Linked DNA regions of Rhinolophus ferrumequinum. The protein of the gene in region 1 binds, or shares a complex with, the protein of each later gene. Links are inferred from orthologs where the notes say so. Each region holds a gene or a part of one and is shown on either strand. Other genes may lie near its edges. The genes, in order: MED19, MED7 and MED18.

What was found.
Region 2: MED19 (region 1) and MED7 share a complex: the UniProt entries of both Homo sapiens proteins name them as parts of the mediator complex. The link is inferred for Rhinolophus ferrumequinum from reciprocal best matches to the Homo sapiens genes MED19 and MED7.
Region 3: MED19 (region 1) and MED18 share a complex: the UniProt entries of both Homo sapiens proteins name them as parts of the mediator complex. The link is inferred for Rhinolophus ferrumequinum from reciprocal best matches to the Homo sapiens genes MED19 and MED18.

What each region holds. Positions count from the first base shown.
Region 1 is NC_046294.1:11,476,696-11,483,863, forward strand, and holds the start of MED19 (mediator of RNA polymerase II transcription subunit 19), read left to right. Parts: upstream 1-2,415; 5' UTR 2,416-2,499; coding exon 2,500-2,767; intron 2,768-6,479; coding exon 6,480-6,736; intron 6,737-6,902; coding exon 6,903-6,999; intron 7,000-7,168. Other genes in the region: TMX2 (thioredoxin-related transmembrane protein 2), read right to left, coding at 1,914-2,180. UniProt on the Homo sapiens protein: Component of the Mediator complex, a coactivator involved in the regulated transcription of nearly all RNA polymerase II-dependent genes.
Region 2 is NC_046307.1:27,383,229-27,390,396, reverse strand, and holds MED7 (mediator of RNA polymerase II transcription subunit 7), read left to right. Parts: upstream 1-2,492; 5' UTR 2,493-2,627; intron 2,628-3,276; 5' UTR 3,277-3,338; intron 3,339-5,717; 5' UTR 5,718-5,734; coding exon 5,735-6,436; 3' UTR 6,437-6,929; downstream 6,930-7,168. UniProt on the Homo sapiens protein: Component of the Mediator complex, a coactivator involved in the regulated transcription of nearly all RNA polymerase II-dependent genes.
Region 3 is NC_046292.1:19,450,502-19,457,669, forward strand, and holds the start of MED18 (mediator of RNA polymerase II transcription subunit 18), read left to right. Parts: upstream 1-2,254; 5' UTR 2,255-2,445; exon of another isoform or gene 2,446-3,042; 5' UTR 3,043-3,111; coding exon 3,112-3,184; intron 3,185-7,168. UniProt on the Homo sapiens protein: Component of the Mediator complex, a coactivator involved in the regulated transcription of nearly all RNA polymerase II-dependent genes.

The DNA.
Region 1 (7,168 bases):
TCAGTATCCACAGACAATCAATGCCTAGGTTTATTATTTCATTAGGGTTTGCTAAATGATTTTTAAATTCGATCATTCCTTCTGTATTTATTAGCTCAAATTCTCCTGTTAAGATACGAACATTCCCTTATTAATTATATGGTTATGTTGAGATAGTATACAAGAAAAGTAAAATGCTTGATTCTTTCCTTTTATTTTAAGAAAATAGAAATCAACTTTTATTCTGTTAAGCCACTGAAAATTTGAGGTTGACCTGTTATTGCTAACATTATTTACTCTAATATCCTAACTTCCCAATCACCAAGGTGATTCAGTAAAGCACAGATTTTCCAGGAAAACACTGGATATCAACCCTAAGTAGAGATGCTCCACGACTCACGATGAACCCGATAAACCCATCATTAAAATTGAAAATATCATAAGTTGAAAAGGTATTTAATACTACACAATAGAGTATCGGTTGTTCACCCTCTTGAAGGCGTGGGTAACTGGGAGCTATGGCTCAATGCCACTGGCCAGAATCACGACAGAGTATCATAAAACATACTGCTAGCCTAGAAAAAGATCAAAATTCAAAACTCGAAGCATGGTTTCTACTGAATGTATATCACTTTCACACCACTCTAAAGTTGAAAAATCGTAAGTCAAGGACCATCTGTAGTTAAAAGAAAATTGTACCAGAGTAATAACAAAATATAAAACCTTCCAGTATTTTGCATACTAGAGTACACAGATAAATTAATTATATAAAATGTCCTTACACTTATTGAAATCTTTATATGTGTGTGTGTGTGCGTCTGTGTGTATACTTTTTTTTTCCTTGCTGTTTTTAGAGAATGTTTATCAGTTTATTTGAGCCCAAACTGTAACAACTGCTGGGAAGCCAGACTTTAAACGCGCCCTGCATTTATATTTTTGAGTCCCACTTTGGTTAGTGGTATATAATATCAGATAAAAACAGGAATCTTTTGCAGTAGCATGGCTACACTTGAGCTAATTAATAATACTGTCTGGGAAAGGGCAGAGGAAGTATGAAAGAGTAAACAAGGGATGGAGAATAAAAGTAAGGGAGTGAGTTCTGGTAAAGTTCAAGGCTCATTTTTGGGGGGAGGAATGGAAAAAAGACAAAAAACTCAGGGTGACCCTCCTTCCTCAGAACACAGATGCTGCCATACAGCAGAGGGCGTAGAGCTTCAGTTCATTTGTCTAAGTGGTCCCTTCACTCCTACTCAGGAAGTGCAGCAAGAGGCTTGAGACAGATTTCTTTAGGATGTTTTACAATTCCTTTCCGATAAGCCTAACAATTTTATTCATTTTGGCATCCTTATTCATTTTGGCAGCCTCGGGATGCACCACAGTGCCTAGCATATAGCACTCATTCAGGAAATGTTAACGAAGAAATGGGTGATTAAGAGTGTGCAGGTCCTATGGCCAGAAGAGAGGTTCCCAATCCCAGTCACCCACTCGTTGTGTGACCTAGGGCAAGTCTCCTAATCACGCAGAAATCATTTCTTCACCAATAAAAAGGAAATACTACTACTTGCCTTGTTTATCTACCCGGCTCCTTAAGTGGCTTTACACATGAGCAGCACTGTAAAAGACTGTACATAGGTGTGTAGAGTTTGGGGAGTGCTGTTGACGAGTATGAATGGTAAGATGAAAAAAACCCTGGACTCAAGAATCAGAAGGCCCAGGCTGTTATGCAGGCTAATCTGCTGTTTTCCCATCTTAATTAAACATGAAGAAATTTAGACTCGATGACGGTCCAGGCCCCATGCTCTTAATGGTAAGTCGGCTAGAGTTTGAAAAACTCAGGTGTGAGTTCTCAAAGACGGAAACTTCGGGGCCCCTGGATGCAATAGCGGGGGAAAGGACAGTCAAGGTCGCGGGGTCCTAAGGTGGGGGTCGCTCACCCAGTCAAAGTCACACGGGTTGCCATCTTCGCGTTGCGTGGGGAGAGTGTGGCAGAGCGGGGGCAGCTTCCTCACGAGAAGGAAGGCAGCAGAGAGCAGGGCAGACAGAAGGTAGTAAGGTCGGGCCAGCCATCGTGAAAGGCGCGGCACCGAATACACCAGAGCAATTAAAGGTGCCAGGACCGCCATCTTCTTGGCCCCGGGGCGCTCGCCGCTCTTCAGGGTCGATAAGTCTGGCCCCGCCTCTCCCACCATTGAGACTTCCATTGGGCCTAGTCTCGGATGCACCGCCTCCGGACCCGGAAGTGTATCTATGATTGGCCACTACAGTAGGGAGGACCTGAAAAACGGATTTCACACTTTATTGGTCAACCTAACTGTCGTTTTTTCCACCTAAGTCATTTTATTGGATATGTGACTGTGACGAGCGGAAACAACAGAGAAATTAATAGGGTGAGATAGCACATCCTGAACGTGCTCAGAAAGCGACGGAAGTAGTTGCCGGAAAAAGTAGGCGGGCCCCAAGACATCCAATGATAAGCGGCTCACGGAGGAAGAGGGCGGTACACCGTGAAAAGATTGTCCAATGAAAACCACTAGCGCCAGACACCCGGACAGCGCCGGAGTAGAGGGGAAGATGGAGAATTTCACGGCGCTGTTCGGAGCTCAGGCTGACCCACCCCCGCCTCCAGCCGCACTCGGCTTCGGACCAGGAAAACCTCCACCCCCGCCTCCCCCTCCTCCAGGCGGGGGACCTGGCACGGCTCCGCCCCCCACCACGGTCACGGCCCCTCCCGGCGCCGACAAGTCAGCAGCTGGTTGTGGTCCCTTCTACCTAATGAGGGAACTGCCAGGTGAGTACTAGGCCTGGCCGTAGCCAGCCAATCAGATCCTAAGGAGGGGGTGATGGGCGTGGGTCTTAGCCGGCCGGCGGAGGTGCAAGGTAACCTAGACAACGCGTGTTAGGCCCTTGGAGCTCTAAGTCCAAAGGCCTCTGAGAATTCACAACCAAACCGATGACGTGAGTCTTGGGGTGGATTCAAGGTGGGAAGAGAATGCATCTCCGTAACCATTTTTCACGCTATATCCGTTCGTTGTCCCTGACACTGGTTTATTATGGTTCCCTAAAAATTATCCAGAGTGAGTTTGGAACTCGAGAGTCCCGATTCAACATCACTGTGGTCCTGAGGTTTTCGTTTCAAATCTGTCACAAACTTGCTCTTGATTTGGAACATGTTACCCTCAGGGTCTCAGCGTTTCTTCATCTGTTTGAAGAAGTGACAGAATTAAATTAAATCAGATTCTTTCAGAAAGTGATTTTGTTGAGCATTTGCTGTGTACCACTGTTCTAAATGCTGAAGATACAACTGTGAACGAGACTGACAGGATCCTTGCTTTTTTTGGAGTTTACATTTCAGTGGGGGAACGCAGAGTAAACCAGATTAACAGCAGATAGTGGTTAGTGCTACAAGGAAAAAAAACACGTCAAAGAATTAAGGGGACACAACTACTTTAGCTAAAGTGATCAGAGAAGCCCTTGCTGAGTAGGTACCATTTGAGCTAAAATGGAAGCATAGAAAAAGAGCCAGCTATGTAGGAGTGAGAGGGATAATTCTAAATACAAGAAATGAAATCAGAAGCCCTGATGTGAGAAAAAGCTTGGAAAGGATAGAAAACCATTTGGACTCCAGTGACGTGAACAGGGAAAGAGTGACAGAAGATATAGGTGGGCCAGGCAGGCAGAGGCGTTTATAAAGCATTTAGATTTTAAGTTCAGGGGGAATCCATTTTAACACAGGATGGTGACATAATCTGACTTATTTTTAATCATTCAAGCAGCTACACAAGGGATGGAATGTGAGGGAATCAATCAGAAGTTAAACTGCTCAGTAATCCAGTTAAGAGATCATGGTTTGGACTAAATGATAGCAGTAGAGGACACAAATGAATGCATACAAGATAAGTTAGAGCTGACTGGAATGAAGGACTGAATATAAAAATAAGGAAGAGAGGAGTTAAGGATGACTTGTAAATTCTTGGCCTGAATAATTGAGCGGACGGTAGTATGGAGACCAGGAAGGAACAAGTTTGAAGAGGTGCAAGTCAAGAGTCATTCTGAACAAGTTAAGACTCCAACATGCCTTTCAGTTAATCCCAAGTCCTACTGCTACATCACCAGTCGAGGGAAATAATAATGAATTTAATACGTAGAATAGCCCTCTGAAGTAGACATTATCTTCACTTTATAGTTTAAAAAACAAGTATAAAGAGGTTGACTTCCCTTTGGTTGGTTGGTGGTTGATGTCTACCAGCAGTTTCTTTATCCTTACCAGTTCTGATTGTATCTCAATTAATTGACAGATGTTGAATAGATATTCTGGACAAACGCGGGGTGTGTAGAAAGGTGGGGGCATGTGGTGAGAAGAGAGATTAAAAGCTTATTTTACTTAGGGATGCAAATTATGTGGTTTGAGGACAGTGACCATATTTCTTGTCAAGGCCAATCTCATTACTTTGTGGTCATGCCTCACATAGGGCAACTATTAAGAACTACATGATGGTTTTCAAAATGTGTTCCTTGTTATCCAAAATGACAGCAAGAAGGGTGGCCAGTTAGCTCAGTTGTTTAGAGGGTGGTGCTGGTAGCACCAAGGTTGCCAGTTCGATCCCCACATGGGCCACTGGGAGCTGTGCCCTCCTTAAAAAAAAAAAAAGATGACAGCAAGAATAAGTTGTCACTTGACTGGACTTTGAAGAATTCATGTATTGGTGAGGAATATTAGGAAGAATTTTCCTATAATTAGGTCCTAACAGAAATTTTCCTGACAGAAATTTCTTAAAAGGAAACACTATGAGGGTGTTTTGTTTTTTTTTCAGGAGATAATGGAGACCCATTTTGGATGGATCAGAAAGTTTGCATAGGGGACTGATGGTTGAGTGGGCCCCAAAGCTAAGTTACAGTAAGATGTGTTTAACCATGAGTGCCAGTCAAAGGAATTGAGCTTTTTCCTGAGAGTAATAGGAAACCACTGATTTTTGAACTGAGGAGTATTGCTTCTAAAAATATCTCGAAAATGGGTGTGCCATGTATTGAAATAGAGAAACCATCAATGAAGTGAGGAAGATTCAGAGTTTTAAAAAAAAAATAGAATCTGCATGGAATTGACTAAGTGGAAGTTGGAAATACAAGATTAGTTTTCAGGAAAGGAGTCAGGGCCGGAGAGAGAGATTTATAAATCATCTTCATAGAACTGATAGAAAGTTGGATGGACTCAGAAATAGCAAAGTGCCGTTTCACCTGAGCCTTGAGCATAACCACCTGGAAGGAGGAGAGCTGACTGGGGCGGGGGAACTCAGGACACTGTAATGGCATAAGGTAGTGCCAAGTTATGAGGAAAGGCAGTGTGGCACTGAGCCTCTGATAGTAACAGATCACTTTTCTGAGATGTTTGATATGAAAATACAGAAAAAGAATAGGGTAATGCCTAGAGGTATGAAGGGAAAAAAATTCCTTGTTCATTTAATAGTTATTGAGCACCAAGTGTGGCTGGTTTGGGCATCAGCCATACATGAGTGAACAAGGCATTGTCTGCCCTCAGGGCTCACAGTTCAGAACCTGAGTTTTCCCAAGTGAAGGATTATAAACAAGCAACTTTTGTCATTTTACCCTTTGTGTTTATCATAACTCTAGATGAACTTGTAGGCTAGATATTCCCACCCTTGCCACTGGGATCCTTATTAAATTACTAATGAGTTTACATTATTTGGCAAAAGTCAGATATACAATATTTATGCTGAGATTGCCTCACATTTATATAATACTTTATATTTTTCAGTATGTTTTCATTTGAACCTTGCAAAAAAATTTAACGCACTTAAGATAGTTATTACCACATTCCATAGATAAGAAACTGAGGCATAGAGGACATCTAGGATTAGAATTCTAGTTGCCCAGCTTCTAATCAAACATTTCTTTTTTCTAGGCAAAGCATTATACTCATTATTATGAGGAGGAATAAAGATGGTGATAATAAGTTAGACAACAGTAGCTAGAAAAATCTCCTGGCTGTTTTTTCTGTGTAAAGGTGATCAGTGTTTGGAGAGAAAAAAAAGGAAGCCATTGGGTCATATTTGGCTCTTAGCTTGGTTGTAGCTGGGCTGTGAGGTACTACTATCCCGGTCGTGTTAGGGAGTATAATTTCGCACTATCCCTTTCTATGAAAAGCACTCAGATCAGTGTTCAGCACAGAGTAAGCATCATGGAAGTTATTGTGCTTAGTCCAAGGAGAGAAGTGTCTTCTTCTTTGGGTGAGAGCAGTTTCCATCTCTGCCCTATTTGGATTTTTGCCTTTTTTCCCCTCATTCCCATTCCAACCTACCCTTCTTTAGTATTGTGGTTTTAGTTCATGTTATTTACTTTTGCTATTATTTAAAAATAAATTTAAATATTTTAGTAATTCTCACTTGAAGGATTCCTTATTTAGGCTAAAATATAGTCCCTCTGGGTGACTTAACAATTTTCTACTCTTGGGACTAATATTTTATCCTCCTCCCTGTGTCCTCTAGGTAGCACCGAGTTGACAGGCAGCACCAACCTGATCACACACTACAACCTGGAACATGACTATAATAAATTTTGTGGGAAGAAAGTGAAGGAGAAGCTGAGTAACTTCCTGCCTGACCTGCCAGGGATGATTGATCTGCCTGGTTCCCATGATAACAGCAGCCTCCGCTCCCTCATCGAGAAGCCCCCTATTCTCGGTGGCTCTTTCAATCCTATCACAGGGACCATGCTGGCTGGTTTCCGCCTCCACACTGGCCCGGTGAGTCCCCTCTTGGGGAGGAAGAAGGCAAATGGGGAGGCCTGAAAGGCATGGAGGTAGTTTTTCTGTCCAAGTCTGTTCCTTCCTAACTTACTGAGCAGACCAGATGATGGGAGCAAGGGATTTCCTCACTCCACTCACCTGGACCTCCCTTTGGTTCCTTCAGTTGCCGGAGCAGTGTCGTCTGATGCACATTCAGCCTCCCAAGAAGAAGAACAAGCACAAGCACAAGCAGAGCCGTACCCAGGATCCTGTCCCCCCAGGTAAGAAGCAGTTCTGTTACAAAGCAGAAAACCTAACGTTCTGAATCTGGTTCAGCCTTCCTCAGTTAAAAACCCAGTTAAGTTCCTTATGGAGCCCTGGACTCCCAAATTCTCCTGAAAGAAGAAACTGATGTCCTGGGGTCTCCTGGGCAAGTAGGAGCTTGGGACG
Region 2 (7,168 bases), on another chromosome or scaffold:
AGAAGGAAGGAAGGCATGTGAATCTCTGTAGAAGGAGGGTTCCAGAAAAATGCAATGGCCCTGAGGCAGGAATATGCTTGGCAATTTTGAGGGAACAGAATAAAACTTATAGCTGGAGAAAAGTGAGCAAGAGAAAAAATGGTAGGAGATATGATTGGAGAAGTCGGCAGGGACTAGATTCTGTAGGGCCTTACATAGGCTATATTGAGAACATTAGATTTTATTGTAAATATGATAGAAAACCATGAAGAATTTTGAACAGAGGACTGGTCAGATCTATCTTATATTTTAAGACAGTGTGGTAAGTAGGCTAAGGGAGGACAAAAGTGGAAGCAAGGAAGCCATTTAGGAAGCTATTGCAGAAGTCTAAGGGACATAATGGTGGCATGGACTAGGAATATAGCAGTGGAGATGGTGAAAATGAGTTATACTGTATTGGGGACTTTTACTTGTTTCTAAATAGAACTAATACAAAAGGCTGTTATGGTAGTTTTGAAAGAGTATGGGAGAAAGAGTAAAAGATGAATCTTTAGATTTGAGCTTTTGCAATTGAGTGAAGTGAAATTGAGTAAATATGTGGAATACTGTTGGATAAGGGGATCTGACTGCAAAGGAGAGGGTGTTGCCAGAGCCTGCATATCACCTGGATGTTATCACCTGGATGATATCCCACTAAAAAGTAAAAATTGAGTCCTGGGTCAATTCAAATGATCAAATATGCCCAATGTTGCTGAGAGTGGAGTAAAATGAGAACTAAGAATGACCATTGGAGGTCACAGGTGTGGGTCACATTGATCTTTGGTGGGGAGAGATGCCTGATTAGGGTATGCTCAAAAGTGAATGGATTTCTTCAACAAATAAATTGATATGGGAGGAAAATTGAGGTGAGGGCAGGAAACTATAGATTAAAACATAATTAAAAGACATATTAGCCAGTCACAAAAGGGGAGGGTTTTATTGGATCCTGAGGCAATTGGTGTCCAAATGTTGACTTGATTTTGATGCTATTCAGCAACTATTTATTTTAAAGTGAGTTCTGTGTTATATGAAAAAAATGAGAGTCCTTATCTTTCAGTGATGCTTGTGGAAATAAAATAATATCTATAAGTAGATAAGTGTTGAAGTTGGGTGATGAGTACACCGTTCTCTCTACTTTTTTGTGTGAACCCTGAGAAAGAAAATATCTTCCAAGGACTCATCATGGTTAACTGGGTACAAATTCATAACCAGAGTCTAGCAGCCATTGCCTACAGAAGCCCCTCAGGTACTCTACATCTCAGGGGAAAAACACAGTGTCTTGTACTGTGTTCCTGCCTGTGAGTCAAGCCTTATAAAGGAGTTCCTGGTATAGTCTTTCCACCAATGGGCTGAAACCTGCCCTGTCCAATGGGAATTGCACAGCTATAGTTTCATTTGCAACTTTACTGACCAATCAGAGCAAGTCCATAACAACCAATAGGAACGTGTAATTCCGACCAATCAGGACAGTGCTATTTAGACCAATCAAACTCTATAAATTTTGATCCCTCATTTGCATAGAAATGGACCAATCAGGGACTAGAGCAGGAACTTTATAATATAAAGTGGCTTCTCCTCTGTGTTTGTTTCCGGGTGGGGTGCAATTTAGGTTTCCTATGTGTTTCCCACTTTTGCAAACTGTTTACCTGAGCAGTTTCTCCTCTTACTGCACCCTAGACTGAGGACTCCTGTTGGCATTAAATTGGTGGCAGTGACCTTTTGCTGACATTTGGAACTCTCCATAGAAGTTTTTAAGAAATAAAATCAAAGACTCTTATTTTAAAGAGGTAAAATTGAGAACTTCTACCAGAATAACAAACTTACTTTTTACGTGCAACATGCTCTTGTAAGATTCCCATGAATTTAGAAATTTGTGACACTTCTAATGAAAATAACCTCCAAAAGAAAACTTTAAGTCTGTTTTTTTTTTTTTAAACGTGCTAATTTGTTGCCCGGAAATAATATAGACATCTCTTAATCCCTAAACAAAAATAAAAGTGAACGGTGAAGAAAAGGAAATTGAAAATGTATTATTGATTCCCAATCACGGTCACAAATACTTCCAGATTCATATATATATATATATATAATATATGGAACATATATAAAAATATATATATATACACACACACATATATATCACATAGAATCCAATCTCATCTTTTAAAATATTTTTGACAGTGGGGTTAATTAGAATCGACATAGTTTTTAAAAATATCTGCTCATCTGTATTTTCTAACTTTTATGTAAGACATATAGATGCCTCGTTTAATTTAAAAAAAAAAGAAAAGAAAAAAGAAAAGAGAAACGGAGCTACCAGCTGCGACGTTTACTGATAGAAGCCAGTACAGAGAGGACCTAGCCTACTTTAAACCCCGCCGGCGATCACGCCACCCAATGGAACTCAGCGGGAATGAGGCGCCAGGGTAGGCGCATGCGTAGTAGCGAGCCAGCGGTCTGAGGCGGGGCTAGAGCCTCGGTTAAAGGACAGCTCTTTCAGTCAATAAAGAAAGAGCGTCAGTGAGTTTTTCCTGGAAGACGACGCCGGAAGTAGAATTTCGGCGGCGGTGGCGAAGGACGCTACCGGAGTAAACAAACCCAGAGCTGAGGTGAGTGGGCGGCGACGGTTTGGGGCTCCGTTCCGCGCGTGTTTCTCTTTCCGGACCCCGAGACTTTGGGCGGATTGGGAATGGGGGGCTGGCGCGCAGTGAGCTCGCTCGCCTTCCTCTCCCGCGTCCCCTCTGAGAGCGCGGCCTCCCCGCCGCTCGTGGACAGCCCGGGCTCGGCGCTTCCTCCGTGTGGGAGGCCGCGCTGGACCGGAGCTTGGGAGACGTGGGTTCTAGTCCCGCGCCGCCGGTTTGCTAAGCGGTGTGGCCTTGGCGAGTTATTCGGTCTCTCCGGCCTTTGTAAGAGGAGGATGCCATTCCTCTCTTTCCTCTTCAGGGAACACCCCAAGGCTAATCGTCAAAAGGATCCTCTGAGAGGTTTTAAAAATTACTTTGTTAGCAGCCCCATTCACTGTAGACAAAGTGAAGCAGATGACATGACGGGGCGGGGGGGGCCCTGGAATGCCTTTCTTTTTTTGTTAAGCCCCCCAGAAAGGAGCAAACTGGAGGGTGGCTCTTGAGTCTGATCACCGGCTAGGATACCTGGTATTATTTTTACCAAAGACCTCTATCGCTTTTGAGTAGTTCAGTCGAGAGAAGTAATGGAGAAATAAACAGAATTTCTGTAACATATCAAGTTCCTTTTGTACAGTTAGAAGCTTCACAGTTTACTGATTTCAAAGAACTTGTGCTGCGCAGCTAAAAGGACCAGAGGTAAGAATTCCCGCTGTGTACCATTTACTAACCTTGTGATCTGGTGCAAACATTTCCCCTCATGGAGACTTGGGATCCTTATCTCTAGTGAAAATAATAATAGTGCTTCACTCAGAATTGTTCTGAAGATTAAGTAAGAGAACATAAAACAATGGTACCTGTCATGTAGTCGGTCTTTGGAAAATGGCAACTTAAATACTAGAGGAAGGCACGTGGTGCTGGGAAGCACAAAACAGGACTCACAACCTAAAAAGGCTTGCGTGGGGTGAAACCTGGGCTGTCTAACATTTCCGTTGAAGTGCCAGGTCAATGCTAATTCTCTGATTTGGTAATTAAATTCCTTAAAAGAGAACATTATGGTTGGGGGATATTTGAGGGTAATAGGGCGAATAAGGAAAATGTTAACATTTGGAGAATCTGGGTGAAGAACACAGATGTTCTTTGTGCTATTCATACAGTGTTTCTGTAAGTCTGAATTTCTGTTAGAAAGTTTTAAAAAGTTGATTGTAACTGTTTGCAACTGTCATAAGTTTGTAAATAAATGAAACAGTACACAGTGTTTGTAAATAAAGCCCCACCCCATGCACTCACTTGCACTCCTTTTTCCTTAATGGCTGTATTGTATTATGTAGACATCTTTTATCCAGCCTTCATATAGATAAAACCATGGATTAATTCCAACTTTTCCTACTCTTTTCAAGCAGTGCTACGTTAAACATATTTATACAAATTTTTTTGTGTGTGTGCTTGTGCCAATACTTTTATAAGATAAATACCTAGAAATAGAATTGTTGGTTCAAAGAATATCATCATTAAAATTTTTGGTACTGCCAAATTAAATTCCAAATATGTATTTGTTTCCTTTTCTATCAATTGTGAATGAGAATTTCCTATATTCTCTCGGGTGGTACTGGCCTACCACCTACAAGTGTTACGTGGTAGTCCTTATGGTGGCTTCCATGAGAGCTAAGGTGAGTGGATGCTCTCCATCCCAGAAGGCTTCTCTGACAGGCCAGGATAGCTAAAAGCCTGCTAATAAAATTGGGGTAGCCACTCTGAAGAAACTGAGAGGTAGGAGAGTTTGTGACCTCTGTTAGAATCCAGGACCTGCCACATAGAAGGTGTTCTTATATTTGCTGAATGATGGAATATTTGAAATCTTGATAGTCTGTTAGATGAAAGCTATCCTTTTAAAAATTTGCTTTTAAAAGTACATTAGTCTTAAGTTTCCCACCTTTATTTAACATTTGCATTTTTCTTGTCCTTTTTGCCTATTTTCTTTTTTTAATGTAGACTTAAAACTCATTCAGTGGACCTTTATAAGTATCTAGCACCTTCTAGGCATTGTTTGAGGTGCTGGAGGTGAATTGTGAATGAGATAGGCAATTCCTGAAGTCATAGTACTTTCCTTCTAGTGGGGATGGAGTCAGAAAACATGTTTTTAAAAAAATCAAAATAAAATTTCTAATATTTGGTCTTTGTTAGTTTGCAAGCATTCTTCTCCCAGAAAGATGGGATTACCTTTTATTTTTGCTTATGAGATATTTTCCTATATGGAATTTTTAGATTGATTTATTTTTATTAAATTTATTGGGGTGTCGTTGGTAATTAATAACATTATATAAGTTTCAGATGTACATTTTCATAATACAACATCTGTATATTCTATTGTGTGCCCACCACCCAAAGTCTAATCTCCTTCCGTCACCATATATTTGACCCTTTATCCTCTTTATCCTCCCCCCAACCCTCTTTCCCTTTGATAACCACCATTCTTTTGTCTGTTAGATTTATTTTTGGTAGGTAGATCTATTGGCCTTAAAACGTATTTATTTTCTTGATAACTTGTAAGCAACACTGGGATGGAGGCAGTGTTTTTTGTTTATCCTTGAAAGGTAGTTAGTGTAGTGTTTGAGATCTTTAGGCTCTGGATCCTTCCTCTAGTATTTACACTATGACTTACCACAAGTGGTTCAACCTTTTTGAGCCACAGTTTTCTCATCTCTAAAATGGAAAGAGCGCCTTTCTTTTCTCAGATTTCTCACAACCATGAGAAAAGTATTTAGAGCAGTGTCTGTACATAGTATGTACTCAAATATTATCTGTCATCATAATCTATGTATAGTCATTGTCATACCAAACAATAAATTTATGAAGGAATGAGTACACATTAAAGATGTTTGTACCTACTTCCAAATTCCCATTGATTTGGAGCCCTATTGAAATGGGTGGAGCTCCTCAACAAATATTTATGAAGCTCCTGTGTATAAGGTTGTGAACGCAGTGAGGACTGTGATTGTCAAAAATTCTGTCTCTAGTCACCCAATGTGACAGGTTTGTTTTGTACAGGTACTCTAAATCTTTGGTCTATTTCTGTAGGTTATTGATCTTCCACAATGGGTGAGCCACAGCAAGTGAGTGCCCTTCCACCACCTCCAATGCAGTACATCAAGGAGTATACAGATGAAAATATTCAGGAGGGCCTAGCCCCCAAGCCTCCACCTCCAATAAAAGACAGTTACATGATGTTTGGCAACCAGTTCCAATGTGATGATCTTATCATCCGCCCTTTAGAAAGTCAGGGCATCGAACGGCTTCATCCTATGCAGTTTGATCACAAGAAAGAACTGAGAAAACTCAATATGTCTATCCTTATTAATTTCTTAGACCTCTTAGATATATTGATAAGGAGCCCAGGGAGTATAAAACGAGAAGAGAAGCTAGAAGATCTTAAGCTGCTTTTTGTACATGTGCATCATCTCATAAATGAATATCGACCCCACCAAGCAAGAGAGACCTTGAGAGTCATGATGGAGGTGCAGAAACGTCAACGCCTTGAAACAGCTGAGCGGTTTCAAAAGCATCTGGAACGAGTCATTGAGATGATTCAAAATTGCTTAGCTTCTTTGCCTGATGATTTGCCCCATTCAGAAGCAGGGATGAGAGTAAAAACTGAACCAATGGACGCTGATGATAGCAACAATTGTACTGGACAGAATGAACAACAAAGAGAAAATTCAGGTCATCGAAGAGACCAGATTATAGAAAAAGATGCTGCCTTGTGTGTTCTAATTGATGAAATGAATGAAAGACCGTGAAGGATGTTTCTTCTTCTTCTTTTTTCCCTTTCAGTAAATAGCATCATATATTAGTTAATTTGCTCTTGAAGAGTCTACAAGAGAGATGAGTAGGAATTATGTAAACAGCTTCACTTTCCAACTTTATCAATTAGGAGATGTCACAGACAGTAGTTTCACTTTGTGGCAAACATAGACAAATGAGTATGATGACATTCAGAGGCATCAGCTGAAAAATCACAGTGCTGCTGTTGGGTGGACCATTCCTGTTTTTGGAGTTGCAGTAAATGTTGAAGATAATCCTCAATAATAGCAAGCTTTCATCCTCAAAAAAAGTTGATTTGTCATTTGTTTTAAGAATGATAGGTAAATAAAGGATACTAAGCTGTATAAATGTGAAATTATGAAATCTTTGATTTTACTTAAAAATTTGCTTAATTTCTAAAGTATTGTAACATGTTTAAGGAGAGATACCCATAGAGTTATAAAACAGCAATTTTATTTTTCCTCCTGACTGTTTCTGTAAATACACTGTCTCAGCCTCTTGTCCCTGTCCTGGATGGGTCCCATGACTTTTTTCAGTCACTCAGGTAAAACTCCTTTGATCACATTTAGGTGCAAACGTACATTTTAGTAATTAAAATGTCTATGTAATTAGCTATACATTTCCTTTAAAGTTAAACTCAGACTTGCTTAAGGCTGGAAGCTGCGAAAAGCAGGGAAGGGGGTTTGGTGGCAGAGACTGGTAGATGT
Region 3 (7,168 bases), on another chromosome or scaffold:
TCACATCTCTACTTTAGTCTGATGTGAAAAATCCTCCAGAATCTGGGCCCAACTCCTCCAGACTCATTTCTCATCCCTTCTAACCTCAGATTCTGTATCCTAATTCTATTGAACTCAATGACCTTATATACATGTTGTTCCCACTACCTAGAATTCCCTTTCCTCCCTTCTTTATCTGGCTGACACCCACCGTGAATCCCCGAAAATAAGACCTAACCGGAAAATAAGCCCTAGAATGATTTTTCAGGATGACATCCTCTGAACATCCCCCTAACGTGTCTTTTGGAGCAAAAATTAATATAAGACCCAGTCTTATTTTGGGGGAAACACGGTATTGTTCCTTCAGGTTACTTTAGGCATTAATTACTTTATTATTATTATTATTATTATTTATTATTTTATTGGGGAAGGGGAACAGGACTTTATTGGGGAACAGTGTGTACTTCCAGGACTTTTTTTTTTTTCCTAAGTCAAGTTGTTGTCCTTTCAATCTTAGATGTGGAGGGTGCCATTCAGCTACAAGTTGTTGTCCTTTCAGTCTTAGTTGTGGAGGGCGCAGCTCAGTTGCCATTGCTAGTTGCAGGGGGCGCAGCCCACCATCCCTTGCTGGAGTCAAACCGGCAACCTTGTGGTTGAGAGCCCACGCTTCAACCAACTGAGACATCTGGGAGCTCAGTGGCAGCTCAGCTCAGGTGCCATGTTCAATCTTAGTTGCAGGGGGAGGAGCCCACCATCCCTTGACGGACTCGAGGAATTGAATTGGCAACCTTGTGGTTGAGAGCCCACTGGCCCATGTGGGAATCGAACCAGCAGCCTTCGGAGTTAGGAGCAGGAGCTCCAACCACCTGAGCCACCGGGCCGGCCCCCATTAATTACTTTTTTAAAAAATAAATTTTATTGGGAAATATTGGGGGACAGTGTGTTTCTCCAGGCCCCATTAGCTCCAAGTCGTTGTCCTTCAATCTAGTTGTGGAGGGCGCAGCTCAGCTCCAATTCCAGTCGCTGTTTTCAATCTTTAGTTGCAGGGAACACAGCCCACCATACCAACCAGCAACCTTGTTTTAAGAGCTCACGCTGTAACCAACTGAGCCATCCGGCCACCCCAGCATTAATTACCTTTTCCAGGAATCCTCCCCTGATGCCCCCAAGATGAATCAAGCAAACTGGTTGTTTCCCAAGCAGCTGAGCTATTTATATTCCATTATCCTATTAAATCGAATCACATGGTACTGTCTCCGTTTAATTCTGATTGCCACAACTTGCCCATAAACCCTTTTGAGGGCAGAGATAAAGTCAACAACAGTTAACAGAATGTCTAGAACACAACAGACTTTCAAGAAATATTCAATTTAAAAAAATGAATGAATGGGCAGTAGTATAGATTCCAGTGGGGGAGCTAGAGCTAGAAGTGTCCGTTTAATGTAATAATTTAAGAGCTTGGGCTCTGGAATCAGCAGCTTAGATCTGTATCCCTGCTTCTCCACTCCCTCGCACGTTTTTTAACTTCTTGCCTACGTCTCCCCATCTGTAAAATTACAGGAATACTTGGCTTCTAGGGCTGCTGTGAAGATCCAAATTTGAAATTTTGATATTTTGTTCATTAATGGTTTTTTGGTATTAAATTTGTAAAATGTTGCATTAAAGTATTATTTATCTTAGTTACTGAGTTTTTTGGTGTCCCCTTAAATTTTTTGCTCCAGGAGAGTGCCTCATTCACTTAACTTTAGTCCCCACTTTGTCCGCCCTCTCCTATCTGCATGACACATAAGTAGCGTTCAATAAATACTCGTTGAATTTACTTAACACTCTATATTTTTAAATTGAAGTTAAAATATACACAGTAAAGTGAACAAATATTAAGTGTATTGTTGAGCTCTTTAATTGTTCAGAACATTATGCTAAGCAGCAAATGTCTTTTCTTTTCACCTTCAGGTACCCAACAAAAAGTCTTTGTTTTATAAATAGTCTCTCTTTATTCTGCAGCTCCCTTCCCCAGGCTCTCTTCCCCCCCTCGTCAGTTCCAAGAGATTTCCTAGACAAAAACATCTCCAGGTCGTCGAACTAGAAAAAAAAAAAAATGTCCTGGAGGACAGCCTATGACGTCAAGGTTTTCCCTCCACCCCGTAACTCCCAGAAGAACGCTTCCACGGAGGCCGCCATCTTCCAAGCAGCAGTGTCGCATCTTGCGCATGCGCTTCTGCTTGCCGGTCAAAGAGCGATTTCAAGCCCTGTCGGTACCCTTAGGCTGCGCGGCGGCGGCGGCGGTGGGGAGGTTTGTACTACGTCGGCTTCTTGGCCGGAAGCGAGAAGAGGAGGAAGGAGTGTTGCAATGTCCAGGGGTTTGAATTTTAAGGCGGGGGGCTAATTGTCGCTCTTAAGCTTAGAAATGCTTGGGTAGATATAATTCTCCGCTTTATGAGAAGAGGGTAGAGCGCGCACGGAGGTGTAAGTGGTCACGTGTTCTCGATGCTGGTTTAGGAGCACCTAAACCATCATCTTAACTTCGCGCTTCCGCCTGGCTCGCTTTAAAAGCCGTTTTCAGAGAGGCGGAACGCCCGGATTTTATTCTGGTGCGCGCTCTGCTACCAGTTGACTGTGTCCTTGGGCTCTTCTCCGCTGCTCAGTATCCTTCCTCATCTATATATTGAAGGACAGGCAAGTCCCTTAGTCACCGTTCAGTTTTTCTGAGTATTATTATATGTCCATTATGTCATCTGAGCCAGAAAGTCTTGGGGGCTAAATATCGTTGACCCCATTTTACAAGGAAGACGTTGAGTCCCAGGGTGAGAGGTTTGATGACTTCTTCAAGATTGAACAGAACGTTTGTAAAGATTTCAGACCTTGAGGGTAGAAAATTGTGCTCTAACTCCGTGGTCGGGTTTCCTTTGTGTATTTCTATATCATTAGTTCCTGAAACTGGACCATAGCAGTTACTCAAAAAGTTTTGAGTGAACCAGTGAATCTTGATGTTAAGACCAATGACAGAAGCAGATCTGGTGTCTTTACCTCTCTGATGTACTAAGTAGTGTAATTCTTCTCCAGGTGTATCCTGTGCTTTTCTTGATTGGGGACTCGGAATCCAGTCTAAATTCTTCAACTTAATTAGACACCATGGAGGCACCTCCGGTCACCATGATGCCTGTCACTGGAGGCACCATTAACATGATGGAGTACCTGCTGCAGGGTAAGTGAACCTGAGCGCTTGGATTACCTGTTTTCCTCTTTTCTGTTCAGCTTCTGTGGAGATGAGAGCCTGTTAGGCCAAAGCAGCCTGCGTAACCCAATAGACTTTTTTAAAAAAGTTTACTTTTATTTATGGTCACAAACGCATAACGTTAAATTTACCATCTTAAACATTTTCACATCTACAGTTCAGCAGTGTTACGTATATTCACATTGTTGTATAGATGATCTCTAGAACTTTTTCATCTTGCAAAACTGCAACACTATACCCATGAAACACTTAATTCCCCTCCTTCCCACCCCCAGCCCTTGGCAACCACCTTTCTACTTTCTGTTTTTGATTTTGACTACTTTAGATACCTCCTATGAGTGGAATCATAGAACTTTAGTCTTTTTATGACAGACAGGCTTATGTCACTTAGCCTCAAGTCATCCATATTGTAGTATGTGACAGGATCCCCTTCTTTAAGGCTGAATAATATTCAATTTTATGTATATACCACATTTCTTTACCTGTACATCTGTTGATGGACATTTGGATTGCTTCCACCTCTTGGTTATTGTGAATAATGCTGTAATCAACATGCGTGTGCAAATATCTCTCCAAGATCCTGCTTTGAATTCTTTTGGATATATACCCAGAAGTGGGATTGCTGGATCATATGGTAATTCTATGATACTCTTATTAGTTAGCTCCATCTTATAGATCAGGAAACAGGTAAAGTAACTTGCCCAGAGGAGAAAACTCGAGACCCAGAAAGGTTAATGATTTTCAGAAGGTCATATAATGTTTAGTGAAAGAGTTTAGGCTTTAATTCAGATCCTTCATTTAGTAACTTCATATGAACAAAATAGGGTTATTAATTTTCACTCCTCAAGCTCCTCCTCTTTCGGTCTTTCCCGTTTTGGTAAGAGCCACTGCCATTCACCAGTTGCTTGAGCCAAGCATTCAGGAGTCAATCTCCATTTTTTCCTTTATCCTACATCTAGTATATCTCTAAGTCCTATTCATTTTACTTCCAAAATATACTTTAAATGTGTCTTTTCTCCACCTGCAGTACCACACCCTGGTTTATCATCCCTGAATTGTTTTAGCAATCTCTCACTTACTACATTGCTTCTACTTTTGATCATTTCTTCTCACACAATAGCTAGTCATCTTTTAAAAACTTGTTTTATTATTCAAAAATTCAAACATATAGAAAATAGAGACTATTATAGTAGACACTACATTTCCATCATCTAGATTTCAGTTTCCATAATTTTGCCATATTTGCTTCATCTTTTTTCTTTTGCTGTTTTTAAAGAAAATTTCAGACCTCATAACATTTTATCCCTGGACACTTCAGTATACATCTCTTTAAAAAAAGTATATTTTCCTTCATAACCCCAATACCATCATTATTATCTTAAAAAATGAATAATATATTTTTAGTATCATCTAATACCTAGTCTATATTCAAAAATTTCCCCCTAATTGTCCCAAAAATGTGATTTGTAACCAGGATGCAATCAGGTTTAATGCATTACGTTTGATAATTGTGTCTTTTAAGTCTTTTAATTTGGACCAGTCTACCTTTGCCCCCACTTTTTTCCCCCATGACTGTGTCTTGGTGGAGTCCATCAGTTTTCCTGGAATTAGTTATTTTTATTTTTATTGGGGAATATTGGGGAACAGTGTTTTTCCAGGACCCATCAGCTCCATGTCAAGTTGTTGTTTCCTCATTGTTTTCAATCTAGTTGTGGAGGGTGCAGCTCACTGGCCCATGTGGGAATCGAACCTGCGACCTTGGTGTTAATGAGCACCACACTCTAACTACTGAGCCAGTCAGCTGCCCTGGAATGATCTTTTTAAGATGTAAATCTATTCATGTCTTTCCCTATTGTGTGGAGAATAAAATGTGGAACTAATAGCTGCCCAATGACCTTAGAATAAAATGCAGCCTTTATCATGGACCATATGTAAGGCCTGCAGGCTTTGGCCCATGGCAATTCCTCATTTCATTATCATTTGCCATCTCACTCACTACACTTCAGCCACACTGATATCCTTTCATTTCCTTAAGTTCCTCAGGCCCTTTTCTTATTCTGTGCTTTTGCATTTGATTATCCCTCTGCCCCAATACCTTTTTCAAATAAACACCTTATTTTTATCCTGGTCGCAGCTCAGTTGTCATTCCCTTAGATCTCTCACTATTCCAACCCCTCAGGGAGGTGTCTTTCTCCACCCCCACCCGTTGTTCTCTAACCCATCTCCCTTTTACTTCTTTGTGTGTCTGTTTATATGTTTACTTAATTATTTTTTATTTTCCCCTACTAAACTGTAGTTTCTGTGAGGGCAAGCCCCCTACTTCCTAGCATAGCTTGGCAAAGCATTCAATGAGTATACTTTGAATGAACCAACGCTTACAAAGCTCATCAACTGTTTGAAGAATGAACAAACATATTTTTGATACTGTCCTAAATATATGCTACAATGTATCAAATGTAGGATCCATTTCCTGCTCCGGTGATCTTGTGCTATGATAACTGAGACCTAATCTGTTGCTTTTCCTTCAACATTACCAATTTCCAAAAATTTAGTCAAGTGAGTCCTCCTATCAATATTTTCCACAGTTACGATCATATACTCTATTTGCTTTATTACTCTATTAACAGATGTATTCAATAAATATTTGAATGTGTTCCTACCATTGGAGTATCAGAAATGGAGGAAGAAAGATAACAAAATCAATCCATAATTAATATATTAAAGGATGACTAAACCAAAGGTGGTAATGTTAAAGAAAAATAAAGCAGGGAAGTGGGAAGAAATTGAAGGAAAATATACTATTTTTTTTAGGGTGATCAGAAAGATCTCTCTAATAAAATAACACTTGAGAAAACATCTAAAGAAAGTCATGAGATGAGGTATGCAGATATCTGAGAGAAGAATATTCTAAGCATAGGGACTAAAGGATGGGGGACTAAAGAGAAATACTTTGTCAGATACTTGGCATTTTCAGGAAATAGCAGGAAGATCGCTGTAGCTGGAGAGCGTGAACTAGGTAGGGGGGATAGTGAGAGGAAATGATGTTGGAGAGGTAGCAGAGACCACAATCTATAGGGCCTTATAGACGATGGTAAAAACTTTGGGATTTATTCTGAATGGCGTGGGAAGCCACTGGAGGGTTCTGAGCAGAGGAATGTCATTATCTACCTTTTGTTCTAAAAAGACCACTTGTCAGTTGTATGGAGAAGAGAGGGAGAAGGCAAGGGTAGAAGCAGGGTATTGCAAAGACCAGTCAAGAAATGAAGGAGGCTTGGACTAGGTGGAAGTGACTGAGGGAGTGAGAAGGGTTGGATTCTGCATATATTTAAAAATTTTTGATTGGATGTAGGATATGGGAGAAAGAAGGGAGTCGAAGATGATTCTGTAGGTTTTGGCCTGGGCAACTGGAAATAGAGAGTTGCCATTTACTCTGCTGGGGAATACTGCAGCAGGAATAAGATTGTGTGGAGGAAAAATCAACAGTTTGATATTGAACATATCTAGATGAAGATGTGTGTTAGGCATCCAAATGGAGAAGTTGAGTGGACAGTTGGATTGAGTGGATAGTTAGATGTATGAGTCTGTAGTTCATGAGATATCAACGTGGGAGTCCTCAGGACATAAATGATATTTAAAGCCATAGGACCTAGTTAGGTCACCTAGGGAGGCGAAATTGTTGCTAGAGAAGAATAGTAGAGTCCTAGGAGCCTCCAATATTTTGGGAAGATAAGGAAGACCAAGCAAAGAAGACTTAAAAGGAATGATCAGTTAGGTGAAGAACCAAGAGAAAGTTGTGTCCCAGAGGCCAAGGGAAGAATAGATTTGAAAGTGGGTATGATCTGTCCCAACTATGTCAAATGCTGCCAGGAGGATGAATAATATGAGAACAAAAATCAGTATATTTCTATGAAGCAGTTAATTATCTTTTACTTAAATATATTACATAGCAAGGAA